Sus scrofa: one gene and its partners. The protein of the gene in region 1 purifies or fractionates together with the protein of each later gene. This does not show direct contact. Links are inferred from orthologs where the notes say so. Each region holds a gene or a part of one and is shown on either strand. Other genes may lie near its edges.

What was found.
Region 2: the proteins of CLTC (region 1) and PTPN23 purify together in Homo sapiens (affinity purification with mass spectrometry; 3 studies listed by BioGRID and IntAct, with this or other methods). This does not show direct contact. The link is inferred for Sus scrofa from reciprocal best matches to the Homo sapiens genes CLTC and PTPN23.
Region 3: the proteins of CLTC (region 1) and MYO6 purify together in Homo sapiens (affinity purification with western blotting; 4 studies listed by BioGRID and IntAct, with this or other methods). This does not show direct contact. The link is inferred for Sus scrofa from reciprocal best matches to the Homo sapiens genes CLTC and MYO6.
Region 4: the proteins of CLTC (region 1) and CLTA purify together in Homo sapiens (co-immunoprecipitation; 6 studies listed by BioGRID and IntAct, with this or other methods). This does not show direct contact. The link is inferred for Sus scrofa from reciprocal best matches to the Homo sapiens genes CLTC and CLTA.

Annotation. Positions count from the first base shown.
Region 1 is NC_010454.4:35,873,377-35,876,948, forward strand, and holds part of CLTC (clathrin heavy chain 1), read left to right. Parts: intron 1-408; coding exon 409-677; intron 678-1,238; coding exon 1,239-1,400; intron 1,401-3,572. UniProt on the Homo sapiens protein: Clathrin is the major protein of the polyhedral coat of coated pits and vesicles. Two different adapter protein complexes link the clathrin lattice either to the plasma membrane or to the trans-Golgi network.
Region 2 is NC_010455.5:30,249,708-30,253,537, reverse strand, and holds the end of PTPN23 (tyrosine-protein phosphatase non-receptor type 23), read right to left. Parts: coding exon 1,969-3,830; intron 1,864-1,968; coding exon 1,759-1,863; intron 1,684-1,758; coding exon 1,545-1,683; intron 1,455-1,544; coding exon 783-1,454; 3' UTR 558-782; downstream 1-557. Other genes in the region: SCAP (sterol regulatory element-binding protein cleavage-activating protein), read left to right, coding at 1-90. UniProt on the Homo sapiens protein: Plays a role in sorting of endocytic ubiquitinated cargos into multivesicular bodies (MVBs) via its interaction with the ESCRT-I complex (endosomal sorting complex required for transport I), and possibly also other ESCRT complexes.
Region 3 is NC_010443.5:90,134,901-90,139,085, forward strand, and holds the start of MYO6 (unconventional myosin-VI), read right to left. Parts: upstream 2,825-4,185; 5' UTR 2,617-2,824; intron 1-2,616. UniProt on the Homo sapiens protein: Myosins are actin-based motor molecules with ATPase activity. Unconventional myosins serve in intracellular movements. Myosin 6 is a reverse-direction motor protein that moves towards the minus-end of actin filaments.
Region 4 is NC_010443.5:236,970,004-236,974,302, reverse strand, and holds the start of CLTA (clathrin light chain A), read right to left. Parts: upstream 2,801-4,299; 5' UTR 2,653-2,800; coding exon 2,454-2,652; intron 1-2,453. UniProt on the Homo sapiens protein: Clathrin is the major protein of the polyhedral coat of coated pits and vesicles.

The DNA of each region.
Region 1 (3,572 bases):
TGATTTGTTCGTTCTCTGTACTATCACTCACTAACTTAGTTTATGGGTAAGCATCCTTAAGTAAGAAGATCGCAACTTGTTTTCTGTTAAGTGAGCTGTTCTTTAGACTCATTTTTAGTTGGGATTTAGAGTTCTTTGGAAGTCATACTATCTGTTTAAAATGTCTTTATTAGAGGTGATAGTTTTGCCTCAGATTTAGATGTCAATTGTTTGCTCATTCTCAGCTATCCTTCAGTGATTGCTGTTCTGTCAGTGTGACTTCTGTAGTTGATTATTAGTCTCATGATAGAAACATTTTGTTTGGAAGTTGCAGGTTTAGTTGTTGCAGAGATAGTCTAGTCTAACTAGATATTAATTTATCCTGAACTTTGCTTTCTTGGTGATTCATAATCTTACTTTTGTTTTTAGCTGGGAAAACTCTTCAGATATTTAACATTGAAATGAAAAGTAAAATGAAAGCCCATACCATGACTGATGATGTCACCTTCTGGAAATGGATCTCTTTGAATACCGTTGCTCTTGTTACGGATAATGCAGTTTATCATTGGAGTATGGAAGGAGAGTCTCAGCCAGTGAAAATGTTTGATCGTCATTCTAGCCTTGCAGGGTGCCAGATTATCAATTATCGTACTGATGCAAAGCAAAAGTGGTTACTTCTGACTGGCATATCTGCACAGGTAACATTTTTAGTTTCTAATAAAGAAAATGTCTAGAGAATTAATGTGCCCAGAATGTAGTTTATTTTGAAATTAGGTCTTCTTTGCAAATCTGGCTTATTTTAGAAGATGTTTTTCCCCTTTCTTTTCATTTTTAAAAACTAAAGGTTGCTGGCTTAATTCCGGTATACTAACGTATATTTCAGAGTATTCTTACCAGGTGTTCTTAGGTCTTATTTGCATATTGAGTGGATATTGAGTTCCTGTATGAATGATTTGGAATTTAGTGTGGATATTTACTGCAGAATGAGTATTCCTGTATCTTTTTTCTTTTTTTTTTTAAAGGTAATGTAAAGAGATGGTTGTATATAAGGCACATTTTAAACATTCATGTTAAGCTTTAATAAGATAATGTTTGCAGCTAAATTATGAATTAAGAGGTATCAAATCTACATTAAGAGACTAACCAGGAGTTGTAAATCTGTCTAAAGATAATAAAGCATTCCAGTTGTTACAGTAGTTGATGAATCTGGGAGTTGGTTCATTGGTTCCCCAAACTTTATTCTGTTTGATCTTTTGCAGCAAAATCGTGTGGTGGGAGCTATGCAGCTATATTCTGTAGATAGGAAAGTGTCTCAGCCCATTGAAGGACATGCAGCTAGCTTTGCACAGTTTAAGATGGAAGGAAATGCAGAAGAATCAACTTTATTTTGCTTTGCAGTACGGGGTCAGGCTGGAGGGAAGGTAAGTTTTGCCTTTGGAAATTATTTGAATGAGAAATTGTCTTCTGTCTTTCTGCTTCTAATTGATTTGTCATCTAGTTTCAAAGTCTTGTTAATTTTTTTACCATTGATTTGTGGTGACTTAATTTGTTTAAATTCTGTTTCAGTAGTGATGCTTGTCTGAAATGAATATTCCTTATTTTATACAATTTTTTTGTATCAGCTGTTTATACTAAGCTTTATTTTCATTGTCTTTACCAAAGGCCTTAACTCGATGCTTTTCACCTTTAACTGTGCTTAAGAATCAGTACCATGGAGTTCATTTCGGGCTCAGTGGTTAATGAACCCGACTAAGATCCATAAGGGTTCAGGTTCGATCCCTAGCTTCGCTCAGTGGGTTAAGGATCCAGTGTTGCCATGAGCTGTGGTTTAGGTTGTAGACTCGGCTTGGAGGTTTTATAGCTGTGGCTGTGGCGTAGGCTGGCAGCTAGAGCTTTGTTTCAGCCCCTAGCCTGGGAACCTCCACATGCCGTGGGTGCAGCCCTAAAAAACAAAACTTAAAAAAAAAAAAAAAAAGAATCAGTACCATGGCTAAGATGTACGTTTGTGTGCCTACTGTTTAGAGAGTGATTCAGTAAGTAGAGCTCATAATGTCTATTTTAACTGCTCTAGGTGACTAGGTAAAATGTGGACCGCAATTTCCGTACTATTGCCTTATTAAGTCAGAGCTTCTCAACCCTGACTATGCATTAAAATCACCTGGACAGGAGTTCTTTTCGTGGCTCAGTGGTTAGGAACCCAACTAGCAACCACGTGGTTGCGGGTTCGATCCCTGGCCTCGTTCAGTGGGTTAAGGATCTGGTGTTGTCATGTGCTGTGGTGTGTAGGTCGCAGACTCAGCTCAGATCCCGCGTTGCTGTGGCTATGGTGTAGGTTGGCAGCTACAGCTCGGATTGGACCCCAGCCTGGGAACCTCCACATTCTGCGAGTGCGGCCCCTAAAAACAAAATCACCTGGACACTTTTTTGGGGGGGGGCGGTTTGCCTTTTCTAGGGCCACTCCTGCGGCATATGGAGGTTCCCAGGCTAGGGGTCGAATCGGAGCTGTAGCCGCCAGCCTAAGCCAGAGCCGCAGCAACGTAGGATCCAAGCTGCGTCTGCGACCCACACCACAGCTCATGGCAACGCCGGATCGTTAACCCACTGAGCAAGGCCAGGGATCAAACCTGAAACCTCATGGTTCCTAGTCGGATTCGTTAACCACTGAACCATGACGGGAACTCCTCACCTGGACAAATTGAAGTACTTAGTATGTTAGGGTTTTTAGTTGCAGACAACAGAAACAAGGTCTGGTTGATTAGAGCATAAAAAATTTAATGAAAGGATAATGAATAGTTTACAATAGCCAGGAAGGCTTAGAACCAAACTTGGAAAATTGGAAGGATTAGGGGAGAATGTCAACAGCCAGGGCCCCAGCCACAAGTCCTGCTACAGAACTCTGAGGACCTGCTCTTGCTGTGATTGCAATGCTGGATGCCAGAGTTAACACTGCTGCCCCTGGAAGCTCAGTTTGACGTTCTCATTGCCATAGTAGAAGCTCTGAAGTCTTAATATTTTTCCATGCTAAGTAGTTTTTAAAAATCAAGAGAGAGATTGTTTAAAATATGGTAATTGATAGCCTCTGAGCTGGGAGGAGACATCTACACAGAGGTAGAATTCTGCCTACATTTCAGAGTAAGAATCCTCGAACCAAGTATTGCAACTACCAGCCTCTCAATACGACAAGGATAGAAAACACAATTCAGATGTTTAGATCTGAATTGAAGGAATTTAAACAAAAAGACAAATAGGTGTTAGAAATTAGATATATTACGACATAAAGCTGTGACTTTTTTGAAAACTCCTGGAAAAAACCTTGCATATCATTTTTATAGTATCTGAAAACCAGTTTATAAGTCTTAAGCCTACTTGATATAATGTGCTATATATTTTGTAGTCTGCCATGGTATTTTAGAGAAGACATAATTTTTTCAGTATGGCTACTCGTCCTAATTAAGGATGAGACCTTATGACTTTTTGGAACTGAATTATTTTTTTAGTCCATTCCTGACATGACTAAGCAAAATAAAAAACACTCTTTCATTGACATTATTTGCTTTCTCTTGCCTTGCTCACTGATGGGCATCCTCAGACAT
Region 2 (3,830 bases), on another chromosome or scaffold:
CTGGTGCTGGACAATGCCGCTATTGTCTGCAACTTTGGCAGCGAGCTCAGCCTGGTGTATGTGCCCTCTGTGCTGGAAAAGCTGGACTGAGAGTGAGCAACAGCCATAGCCCCCTGGCTGGCTGCTCAGGGGCCTCTCTGCCCTTCTGGCTGTGGGGCAATGCACTGGATCTGGGCTGGGGGGAGGGGAGGAAGAGCCGAGTCTTCCGGTAGGCCCTCTGAACTGTCCTATCCTGCCTCATGACTGTAATATTAAACCTTTTTTTAAATGACATCAGCTAGAGGCTTTGTGAACTGCTTGCATCTTCCCCTGGAGGAGCTCTGGCATCATTTACAAACTCCATCCCTGTACTCAAACCGCAGCACTTGGTTAAACCTTGAGCTCAGAGCTGTTCCCAGCAGGAACCGTACAGGGGCCTTTACAGGGTGGGGGAAGCTCAGCAGGCCCATGCTAGATGCCTTCGTTTATTGTTTCACATTTAGGCAAACCAGGGTGGCCCTCATTCCACATCCCAGCACCTCCACCCTAGAGTGGGCATAGCAATGGCAGACACTGGCCACAGAACAGGTCTGTTTATTCAATAGCAAAGAGCTGAAAAACGTCAGGTCCCACAAAGGAGCAGAACCTGACCCAAGACCTGTGATGCATCTTTACCCCAAAGGTACAGGCCGGGCCAGGTAGGGCTGAAGGCAGCAGGAATGGGAGTAAGACTAGGCCTCGCTCCAAGAGGGGAGACAGGCATGGGAGATGAAGTAGTGTAAGGACCAGGTAGACAAAGCCTGTTAGGTCTTGTTGAGTGTCCAGAGTGGATCCAGAAGGCTAAGAGGGTCATCAGTGGGCCGGGCAGCCCGCAGACCCTGCCCATTATGGGCCTGCAGGAAGTTCTGCTTGCTCATTCGCTGCTTTCCCCGCAAGGAGCTGTCCAGGGAGAAGGCTTCAGGAGTGAGGGAGGCCAGCAGCTCCAGGGAGGAGGAGGGGGGCCCCAGGGTGGGGACTTCTGGTACTGGTGGTTCCTCCTCAGGCTGGGGAGCCTCAGGCAGGGGTGAAGAGAGGGGCGGTGGGGACGAGGATGGAAGTTGGGTGGACTCTGGGAGGCTGGTTGGTGGCAGGCCTGCGGCCTCTACAGGCCCAGGCAGGCTGGCAGCCGGGGAATCCAAGCCCCCAGAAGGCCGAATACTGAGTTTTGCAATAGTGGCCTGGATGGAACTGATGGGCACGTCCCCACCGAGGACCAGGTCCTGGGAATCCGGAGGAAGGTGATTCTGAGAAGAGAGAATGGGTAAAGAGGGGTCCACAAGGCAGGAGCTGTCCCCAGCAGACTCCAGGGCTCCCTCCATCACCTTCTGGCTGACACTGATGCTGGCTGAGGGTCTGCATGGAGGGAGCACGCCATGGCGCTGCAGGACCTGTTCCACATGTCTCACCACCGCCTCATGGCAGAACTTGAGGTGCAGCTGCAGAGGCGAGTTTGGCCTGGTCAGCTGGGTGGGGAGCTCGCCCAGGCCAGAGGGCCCGTCCCAGCTCCCGCCCGCCCAGGTCCCCACCTTCTCCTGCAGCATGTGTTTCCTCTGCTGCCGCATGCGCCGCACCAGCTGAGGCAGCTCAGGGATCCCGTTTCCAGCCTCAACCTCCTGCACAGCCGCGTAGAGCAGTGCAAAGGCTCCTGTGCGGCCCACCCCGGAGCTGTGACAGGAATTGGGTATAAGGCCAGGCCGAGAGCCCCCAGAGACAGACCACTCAGGAGCTGCCTGCACTTACCTGCAGTGCACAACGATGGGCGTGTGCAGGGGGCGCTGGTGCAGGTAATGAGCATGCACCTCCTGGATGAAGCGGAGCAGGTTGCCAGGACTGTCAGGCAGGCCTCTGCAGGGGGGGGGGGGGGGGTTGGGGGGTTGTCTCTGAGCCAGATCCAGTGAGAGGCCACACCAGCCCCCAGCCCCCGACCACCTCCCAGGGCAACAGACGCACAACTCTGGCCAAGTAGGAAAGTGGAGGTGCACAAGCGAGCGCTTGAGGCTCTGGTCACGGAACTGAAGGCTTAGCACCCGCTCCACATGGGTCTCTGTGGTGCGGACACTGCTCAGGGCCAGGCTCAGGGCTCCATGCACCATGGGCTGGCCCCTCTCTGTAGGGAAGTAGCGTGCCACCTTTTGCTGAGGAACAAACAAGGCAGTTAGGGCATGTTTCCAGGGCCCCTGCTGGGCACCCACCCGACCTCCCTGTCTCACCTTCTCCATCTCGGCCTCAGACACCAGCATGACAATGACTGACACTTTCTGCTCGTGCACCATGAGCCAGAAGTCAGCAGCTGTACCAGGCAAAGGCGCCTGGGTGGCCACCAAGGGCGGACAGTACGGCGAGAGCCCCTCCACGCGGCTGGCGTTAATGTAGTCGTCCTTACCCGAGCGCAGCACCACGCGGTTGCTGTCATAGGGCATGACGTCCTGGTGCCGGTTCTTCAGGGAGTAGCAGCGGGCAATGGCGATGGAACGGCCACGGGCATCATGCTCTTGTGCTTCTTGCAGCTCCCGCCATACAGCGTCAAGAGACCCTGTATCACCCAGCTGGCCCCGAAAGGCCTCCAGCTCCTGCTGCAACTGCTGTAGCCTCTCGGGGTGCTCATAGGGGTCCCGCTCAATCAGCCGTAGGGCCTGTGGCCGCCGGCCCTCAGCTGCATCCACCTTTGTAGGCTGCAGCAGAGGCTGTCCACCCCCAGGGGGCTGAGTGCCTCCATGCTGACTCTCGGGGCTGGAGGAAAGCAAATCTGCAGCTGCTGCACCCCGGCGCAGACATGATGGTGGCTCTGATGCAGGGGGCCGAGGAGGTACTGGGCCAGGCCCCGGTGATGGGGCAGGTGAAGGCACCAGGTTGGGAGTGGATGTGGGCTGGCCAGCAGGTGGAGGGCCTCGAATGGAGAGAGGGGCTGCCTGGGGGCCCATGGGCCTGGGGGAGGGGGCAGGACCATATGCTAGGGTGGGATGGGGAGGTTGAGGGGGTCCAGGGCTAGGGAAAGGCAGTGCCCCTGAGTGGGGGGGCAGAGGGTCCTGAGAGGGGCCTGAGTAGAGCTGGGTGTGCAGGGTGGGTGGTGGCTGCCCCAGGACACCAGGCTGAGGAGCAAAGGGATAGGGGGGTTGGGGGGGTACCAGTCCTGGCGCCTGAGATGGGAAAAGGTGTGGATGCTGGAGTGGAAGGGGCTGCTGGGGAGGCTGGGGCCCAAACACCGTTCGTGTGGGATGAGGCTGAGGCCCAATCCTTGGGACAGAAAAACCTGTGGGGATCCCAGGAGAAAAGTGGTGCTGGGCTGGGGGTGCTGTGAGGGGTTGCTTGGCCCCCACAGGGTAGGCATAGGGCATGGGGAGGGGCTGTGGTGGGTGTCCGGGGAAGCAGGGCTGGGGAGGAGCAGGGGTGGGGGTTGGCCGTGGTGCTGTGTGGCTGGAGATGGGGGCCTGGACACTATCTACTGTGGTGGTAGCTGGCCGAACCCCCATGGCCAACTCAGGGCCTGAGAACTGGGGGGGTGGGGCTGAGGGCAAGCCTGCAACTGGTGGAGGTGGGCCCACCCCCCCATAGGGACTGCTCACCACACCATGCTGGGGCGAAGATCGGGGCACAAGGCCCAGCTCTGGGGTGAAAGCTGGGGCTGCATAGAGGGGAGGTCCAGGTGCCATGGCCACTGCAGGGTGCCCAGGGGCCGGGGGGGCTCTGGGCTGTAACACCTGGGTGGGGCCCGAGTAGGTCCCAGGCGGTAAGACTCCTGAGAGATAGTGGGGTCCAGGTCCTGCAGAGCTGGGGAAGGGGCCAGGAGGGAAGTGGAGCCGGGCAGCAGCTCC
Region 3 (4,185 bases), on another chromosome or scaffold:
TCCCATCATGGCGCAGAGGAGACGAATCCAACCAGGAACCATGAGGTTGAGGGTTCAATTCCTGACCTTGCTCAGTGGGTTAAGGATTCGGCATTACCATGAACTGTGGTGTAGGTCCCAGACGCGGCTCAGATCAGGTATTGCTGTGGCTGTGGCTCCGATTCAGCCCCTAGCCTTGGAACCTCCATATGCCCGGTGTGACCCTTAAAAAAAAAAAAAAAATCAGTTCCAGAGTCCCACTCTTGGCCTTCCTCAACCTCGGGCCTATGAACCTTCAACCCTCCAAGTTTCTTTAACACAACACCAGTTCTGCAGGTTTACCTGATCAGTCCATCAAATGAGCTGAGATCAAGGCAACCCACTCCACTGAAAAGGACTGGGGTTTCATGGTCAGAAGACTTGGGTATGACCCCAGGCACCTGTCTAAAGCTACATGACTTTCAGCAAATATTTAATTCTCAGAGCCTAAATTTCCTCTTGTGTGAAAAGGACAAGACCACCAACCTTGAAACTTATTTTGCAGAGCAAGTTCCTCAGTGCTCTGATCATGGCAGATGCCTGACAAATGGGTGACAAGCTCATCCTCCTAAAGGGCCAGTTACAAATTATTACCAAGTATCTCATCATAGGAATCACAAACTGTATGAGATTTATTACAGTTGTCATGCTTTTTTTCAATCATTTATTTAAAATGTCTTAATATATAAAAATAAAAATTCAGAGGTTAAACACCTTTATAAAACTGACATTTTACATATCAGAGATGGGGCTTTAATAATCAACAGACAGTGAAAATTAGTTAATTTTTTTTAAATGTCTGGGGTGCTTATATTTATCCAAATTTCACAGTCTTTTTTTTTTTTTTTTTTTTTGTATTTTCTTGAGAAAGCTGTATTTTAGAACCCAGAGACAGACCAGTTATCTAAACAATGGGCTACAAAATACACCACAGTCTCCGGGCAAAGTCACAACAGGATGAGAAAAGAGCCTTCGGCTTCTCTCAGATTTCCTGACCACTGTTATTTTAAAACTTGATCACACAAACATAAACAGAGGAAAAAAATCCATTTCAGATGAGCCCCGTGGGTTACAATTTATGATGTTTTTAAGACCTTATATTAATTTACATTAAATATTGCAATGGCTTCTTAAAGGTTTTGTCCATGTTTCCAGGCACCAATGAAGAATATACATATATGATATATAGTTTTATATATTATATATATATTTAGCTTTAAGTATAATCTTATCTTAAAGTCATCACTTCCATCATTCCCTTTTAAAACTAGTTTTTGAAAATTAAAATTTAACTTTAAAAGCCTAAAATAAATAGCATGTCACAGAGAACATACAAATGCACCGAGGAAATCTGCATAGGAATAAAATGACTTTTGTTACCACTAGGCAAGTAATTCTGCACAATTGAAAATACTCAAAATGAGCTGGATATTTAAAAAGTCAATGAGTTATTTTACAAGGTTGCTTTATTTCAAGCTCTGGCTATAGACCAATTTGTGGTGCTTCTAAAGTTAATAATAAAAGACACAAAGATAATTTTTTCACTAAACAATTTCCAATGGAAAACCACAATCCAGGACAACTAGGAAGTTTAGTTAATTTGTACAGAAATGTCGTTTTGCTGCCAACCTTTGTACCATGACCACTGCCAGCTCAAGTTCAAGATTCACATTTTATGGTGTGAAGTGCGTTCAGCTAAATCTTAAGAATAGTAATTATTAAATCTCTCAAACCCTGACGATATTTAGCTATAAAATTGCATTTATACCACCAGAACACAAGAGAAACTTTTATTTACCATGTACTGCAGCCAATTAAATTGGGGCAGTGTTCCTAGCTCCTTACACCCGCGGATAATTTAAGCATTCCTCCACCACAAATTTTATGCCAGATACAATGTAACATGTTTTCTGCAACTGTATGGAAATGTTTCTGACATGGATGTTCTAGTCATAACCTATCAAATTATCTATTTGCACTCCCAGCGTTTAAGCATTTTAACCGTTTTTTTAAAGAGTCTTGGAAATTTTAAAGAGTTTTGGAAAAACAAATATAAAAAGCTCCTGTTCGGTAGCAGATACATAAATGAACATAGCTCAAGTACTGGACCAACTAAAGACTAAAACTACAGCTTTAGATAGTCCCATCCTGGGCTCCTATGAGCTTAGGCTGTTAGTGATAGCAGCTGATCCTCACATCCCAAAACAAACAGCACTATTCTGGCAACAAATATTAAGCTGATTTAGAAAAGAGAAAACCATCACGGAATGTCCAGGTGAGCGCTGGACACCTGAGTGCTCTGCTTCTATCTGGGAGCCAGAGAAGATACACAAAGGTATCTTGGTGATGACAAACCCATGAAAGGCGACTCTTATTGTCCTGTGGAAATGAAAACCAGTCCTGCGCCACCGTGATCCGCCGCCGCCCGGGCCCACTCATCACCTGCTTCACCCACCCGGGGCCTCAGGAGCTGAGACGAGCCGTCGGCTCCTGGCAGACCCGAGAGGGACCCAAAACAAGGCCGGGTTCCGAGTAGAGAGGTTCGGGGAAGCGAGGCTCGGCGCCGACGCCCCGCCTTGGGCGCCCAGGGACACTCACCTGTGCGGACAGGGCAGGTGCGCGGCGGCTGGGCGACCTGTCGCCGGCGCAGCTGGGAGCGGGTGAGTGCGACGAGGGCGAGGGGAGCGCGCGGCGACGCGGACCCGCACAGCGACGAGACGGCGGCGACAGCGCCCGGTCTCCGGCTAGCTTCCTGCTCTGACCGATCCCGGGTCCGTCTCCGCCCGCCGGCCGGCGCCCAGCCAAGTCCCCGGCCCCGCCGCGCGCACGTCACGGCTACGGAGCGCCCAAGGGGGCGGGGGCGCGGGCGGGACGGGAGCGGCGCAGGCGCGGGTCATGGGCGCTCCGGGAGGGGGCGCTCGGCCCCGGGGCCGCGCGGCCTGCGCTCGCGGGCGCGCCACGGCGCGGAGGCCCGGGGCCGGGTGGGCGCGCGGCGGCGTGCGGAGGGGCCTCCCGGGGTATGGCGAACGTTCCTCTCTCCCGCCGCCGAGGACCTTCTGCTTCGCGGCGCTTATTGTTTCCACCGCCTGCGGAGCACCTCTCAGGACTGGGTGGGGGGACCGCGCCGTCCGGCCACAGCGGAATCAGTTCAGGGAGAGGGAAAGTTGCTCCGAGAGGGGGACCCCGATTGACGACTGGGGCTGGCGGGAGCCAGGCAGCGCTGTTCCCACCGGAGGGAGCGCGGCGGACTCAGCTCCACCCCGGGTCGGCTGGTGCTGGGCTGCCCTAGGTCAGTAGTGACCTTCCTGTGCCACAGACTTGCCCTTCTGCTTTGGGGAGCAGGGGGTCTGCGATGGAAATTTCTCATTTCTTTGGCCCCCACGCCGCCACCGTATTTACTTAGTAGAACCCACATCTTTTCTGCCCTTTAAGATTTACTACTTTTATAAGTGACATACCTGTGAGTCATATTGGAAAGTTAAAGATGAAAACATATATTTCCTTGACAACAAAAGTAGCTTCATTTAAAAAAATGAAATGGTAGTGGACTGCAATCATGAAGGTCTCTGCTGAAAAAAGCTACTCGTCCTACACGGGAGAATTGCCCTTTTTTTATTTTATTTTATTTTTTCTTATTTTTTTTTTAAGCCCTACCATTCTGGCTCCTCCCCAGCAACATTCTAAACAGCAACGAGAAAACTTAACAAAATCTCCAAGATCTGATAAGGTACAAGTTTCAGTTGTTCAGATGTTGCACGGTTCTCTTGGAGGAAAAGCCAAGTTATGTTGTGGTATTTTAACATGCAATTTATTTGAAAACAAAATAAAATAGGGAAGTAAGAAAGAGGAAGAGAAACCAAGAAAGGAAATAATTGACAGCAATCTCAGAAATTTAATTTCCAGATTGCCAGGAGGTAAATCTTAAGTATATGAAAGTAGATTTCAAAACAAATTGGAAAAAAAGAACCATAAGAACAGGGAGAACATGATTTCAGTTCACTGCTTTGACTTCATTTTGGACTTTTAAAATTAAAAGACTTTGGCAGACCAATAGAAGTCCATACAGCTTATTGTGAGTAATGACGTAATTTTTTCCTCTCTCTCTCCTTCCTCCTCACTCTTCCAATTTCTTACCAATTCTCTTTGCTTCTAGCTCCGCCTCTCTCT
Region 4 (4,299 bases), on another chromosome or scaffold:
ATATGTTCCTCTCTCCTCAAACTCACTTAGAACCTCCTGCCTATACATCCCTGTCTAACACATCAGATACAGAGATCCCTCCTAAAATCTGTTTCTCATTACACTCCAAAGCCTATAGGGTTTGTAACACCTTTCTCATCCCACTCCCAAGGAATAACAGGTACTGTGTTAATAACACACCAGGTTGTGTGTGTAAGCATTTCACAGGTGCTCACATAATCCTAGCAACCCCGGGAGGGTTTATATCTGCACCTTTTACAGAGGAGAAAACTGAGGCAGGGCAGTGGCAGTGGTGTTGGTTATATAAATTGTCTGAGACCACAAAGCTTAACTCACATTCAAGCAGTCTAGGACAGCACAGAATCTTAACCACAAGAGTGAGTGACTGAGAGAGAGAGAGAGAGAGAAGAGGTAAAGAAAATGTCTAACCACTTCTCTACTCCCCAAAGGAAGTGCTGACCACTGCATGATTTTTTTTTTTTTCTGACCACTGCACTATTACCAACCTCAATTACACTGTTAGAGATCTGGCTTTAAGTCACTAAATGCTTAGTTTACTAAGAAAGGCCTTCGTAGGAAATAAGTCAGCAATCGTCCCTTCCTTCCCTTTGCTGAAAGCTCGATGCACAAGGGATCCATGTCCAACTTTACTCTTTCCCTTCTCTCTCTCCAAACTGTCCATCACCAACAACTGCTGGTTCTACACAGGACCCCTGTACCTGACATTTTCGCACATTCCTGTGAATCTACTACATGCCAGACACCCTGCTAGGCACCGGGGATACAAAAGCGAGCAAGAGCTAACACTGTCCTGAATCAGGACAGCCTTCTGCGAGTCCTGATGCTCCCAACTCTGTCCTCATCAGGGCAGCCACAACTGTCTTTCAGAGATGGCAATCTCTCATCCCACCCCACCTCTGCCTAAAAACGCCACCAGAATATGGTACAATCTAAGGCAGGGAGACTTGGAGCTCAGCTGTTAACATGCCCTTTTTTCTTAAGCAAGTCATTTCTCTGTAGGACTCATACTTCTTTCTATCAAATGAGGGGAGATGAACTAAGGATCTAAAATAAATTTTGATTCTCAGGCAAACAGTGAAGACCACCCATAGCAACTAAGAAACCCTAATCACTGAAAGCCAACTTCGTTTTCCCACCATAGCCTAGAGTTCAGCCCAACATGCCGGCTGTAAATTACCTTTTTTGGCCTATTACCTGTTCTGTAAGTTCATATGGGGGAACTGACTTGCTCTGGAGGCAGCATGGTGTAGTTTAAAAATTCAGGCTGCAACCTAGCAGTCTCCCCAGACCCACTTCCCCAAAGGTTCTGGCTGGCTGAAGACAGACTCCTTAGTCTGACTGCTTTTACAAAGACCGCTCATCGAGCGCACCAACGCCCCAGTTTCCAAAATTCCTCATCATCTCACTCCCAACAGGTTTCTCTCATTTATGTCACCTGCATGGCCCCCTGAAGGTTTGGGTTTAGTATAAACACACCCATCTGCCCCGCTAGCACCCTATTCTCCCTTAATTGGAATGTTTTTTTAAGCAAATGAAAAGCCAAGTCTCCTTTCTTCTACCGAATTTCCTACTTCCTTAAACGATTGAAAAGGTCTCTTGCACTCGTTTCCTCCCTCCTACCACCACAATCCTAAACTCTGCACACCGGTAAGGCATTCAGAGGTCAAACTGGTAGCTTACCACGTGCTCCCTTTCCCTCCTTTTTGCTGGAGTTTGCGTGGGGAGAGGCCACGCCACATTTTCTACTCGCCTCTGGGAAGACTGGTCCAGGCTAATCTCAGGTTCTGTTTAGGCAGCACTCCTACCAAAAGCTGTTCCCGTAGGAAGTTGAGCTTCGGAAGTCCTAGCCGCAATACGTTCGACAAATGGCAAAACTCTTCTTCTCTCTCCAGAGCTAGACCATCTTTCCTGCATTCCTTACTCACTCCTCCTTTCCTCCCTCGAACCCAATATTCTGTACATTAAGTGCTGAATTGCACTGCAATTTGTTTGTGTGTCTCAAAAACAATACCACTATTCTTATCTTTTTTTCCGTCTTCCTTCCTGCTAACTGGTCTGTGTTAAGCTCAGCCTTGTCTGTTAACTCTGGCCAACTGCGCCAATGCGGCTGTGCCTCAGAAGCCAGGTTCAAGTCAAAGCAAGTGCTCAATGAAAAGTTCCTGAATTGAACAGGCTTCTTAAGGCTCCTCAGCCTGTCACCTTCTTTTCTTGGCTTTCTGGCTCCGCCTGTACCCAGGAGGGTTCACACACACTCACAGAACAGACTAGGCTTCTCGAGCCCAGGTTTCTGCATGACTGAACTGGGGTCTCGTTTCCTCTTTGACTCCTCAACCTCCCGGTTAGCCAACAACAAGAGTTACACGGAGCTCTCAGACGCACTCCGGACCGAGTTTCCGGACAACCGCTCCCGCCCCGAACGCGCCGGCACTCACCCGGACCCCCCGGCGGCTCGCCGTGCGGCTGGGGCCCAGGAGCGCCTCCGTCCAGGATGGCGAAGGCCTCGTCGTTCTCGATGCCAGCAATCTCGCTCTCCTGCTGCGCCAAGAAGGCCGCGGCCGGGTCCTCCTCGCCGGCCACTCCGTTCCCCAGCGAGGGGCCGGCGGGGGCGCCGAACGGATCTAAATCAGCCATGGCAGGCGTTCAACTGCACAGAAATCGACGCTGAAAGACACACCAACCGACCCGCCGTAACCGCGCCCGGCAGCGGCCGCTGTGGTGGCAACGCGACCGGAGGACAAGCTGGAGGAGGGAGAAGACGGAAGCGGAAACCCTACCCCCATATCCGGTTGATATAGGCAGTGTTGGAGAGCCGAAAAGGTAATAACCAATCAGAGGACAGAAATGGTTCAAGTGCTAACCAATCAGCAGGAGGAGGGGAAGGCCCCCGAATAAAACTCGTGACTCGGGAAGCACCTGCGTGGAAGGCGCTAAGCCCCTCCAGCCCCCGGGAGCCGGAAGTGGTGTGTGTCTGAAGGCAGCCTTGCCTGACCCGCCTTAGGGGCTGGACTGACCCAGGACAGCCACCTCAGAAGGGACGCTCTGTGTTGAACCGGGAAGTGAGGCGAAGTCAGGGCGGTGATGGCTGGCCGATTGCAAAAGAGTCTAGACACTTAGGCTTTTGGGATCTCATTTTCCGCATTTGTAAAATGGGAACAAGAGTCCTGCACTGCCTCCTTCCAGGATTACTGAGAAAACCGAGTCCTTTTATGGCTCTGTTCTGGCTTTCTAAAGAAAAAAAAGTTTGTTAACCCATTCACCCAGGGGTTATTTTGTCCTTTAGAGCTGCCTGACTTAAATGTAATCGCTTCCCATTCATTGTGACTTTTCTCCTCCATAGTATTGTTATAAAACGGAGAATATAACCCCTTTTACAAAGCCTTTCGCATACAGTACTCTTTTCAGAGCTAGGCAGGAATTTCTAGAACTGAAAGATGCCTTAAGGATTATCTGGTTCATAGGGAAACTGAGGCCCCTGCGTGAGAAGACGTGGTTTTCACGGGGAGTCAGTGGCCAAGAGGAAACCCAGGTCTCCTGAGCAACTCCAAATGGTTCTAGCCACAATCTTTTGTATCATACTCCTTTCCCACCTAAGGGAGGCAGGAACTTTACTTTTTTTATTTTTTATTTTATTATTTTATTTTATTTTTTGTCTTTTTGCCTTTTCTAGGCTGCTCCTGTGGCATATGGAGGTTCCTAGGCTAGGGGTCTAATTGGAGCTGTAGCCACCGTCCTACTCCAGAGCCACAGCAACGTGGGATCCGAGCCTCGTCTGCGACCTACACCTCAGCTCACAGCAGCGCTGGATCCTTAACCCGCTGAGCAAGGCGAGGGATGGAACCCTCAACCTCATGGTTCTTAGTCGGGTTCGTTTACCACTGAGCCATGACAGGATTTCTTTAAACTCAGGTGCATGTTCGTAACATGGCTAATTTTGTCTATACCATAGACAAGATAATAGAGTGATTCCAGTTACTCATGCTCATAGGGGGAAGGTTGCTTATGCACTGGCTAACAGAAGGACCTTCTCCACCACCACCCTAAAAAGTCAAAAACAGAGACAAACCTAAAAGCCAGCCAGAGGTCAAAGTTGCCTCCAGAGGTAGTCCACAAAGGAGAAGAAAGCGGTTTTTGAAAGTAATCATGTATCTTTGTTGACACAAAAGGGTAATTATTTTCTTACAGTATGTACTTACTTTTAAAGTCATTTCAAGTATGGAGTGTAGGAAAGTTTTGAAGAAAAACACATAAGAAACTAAAAACTTTAGGGCCTGCAACTGA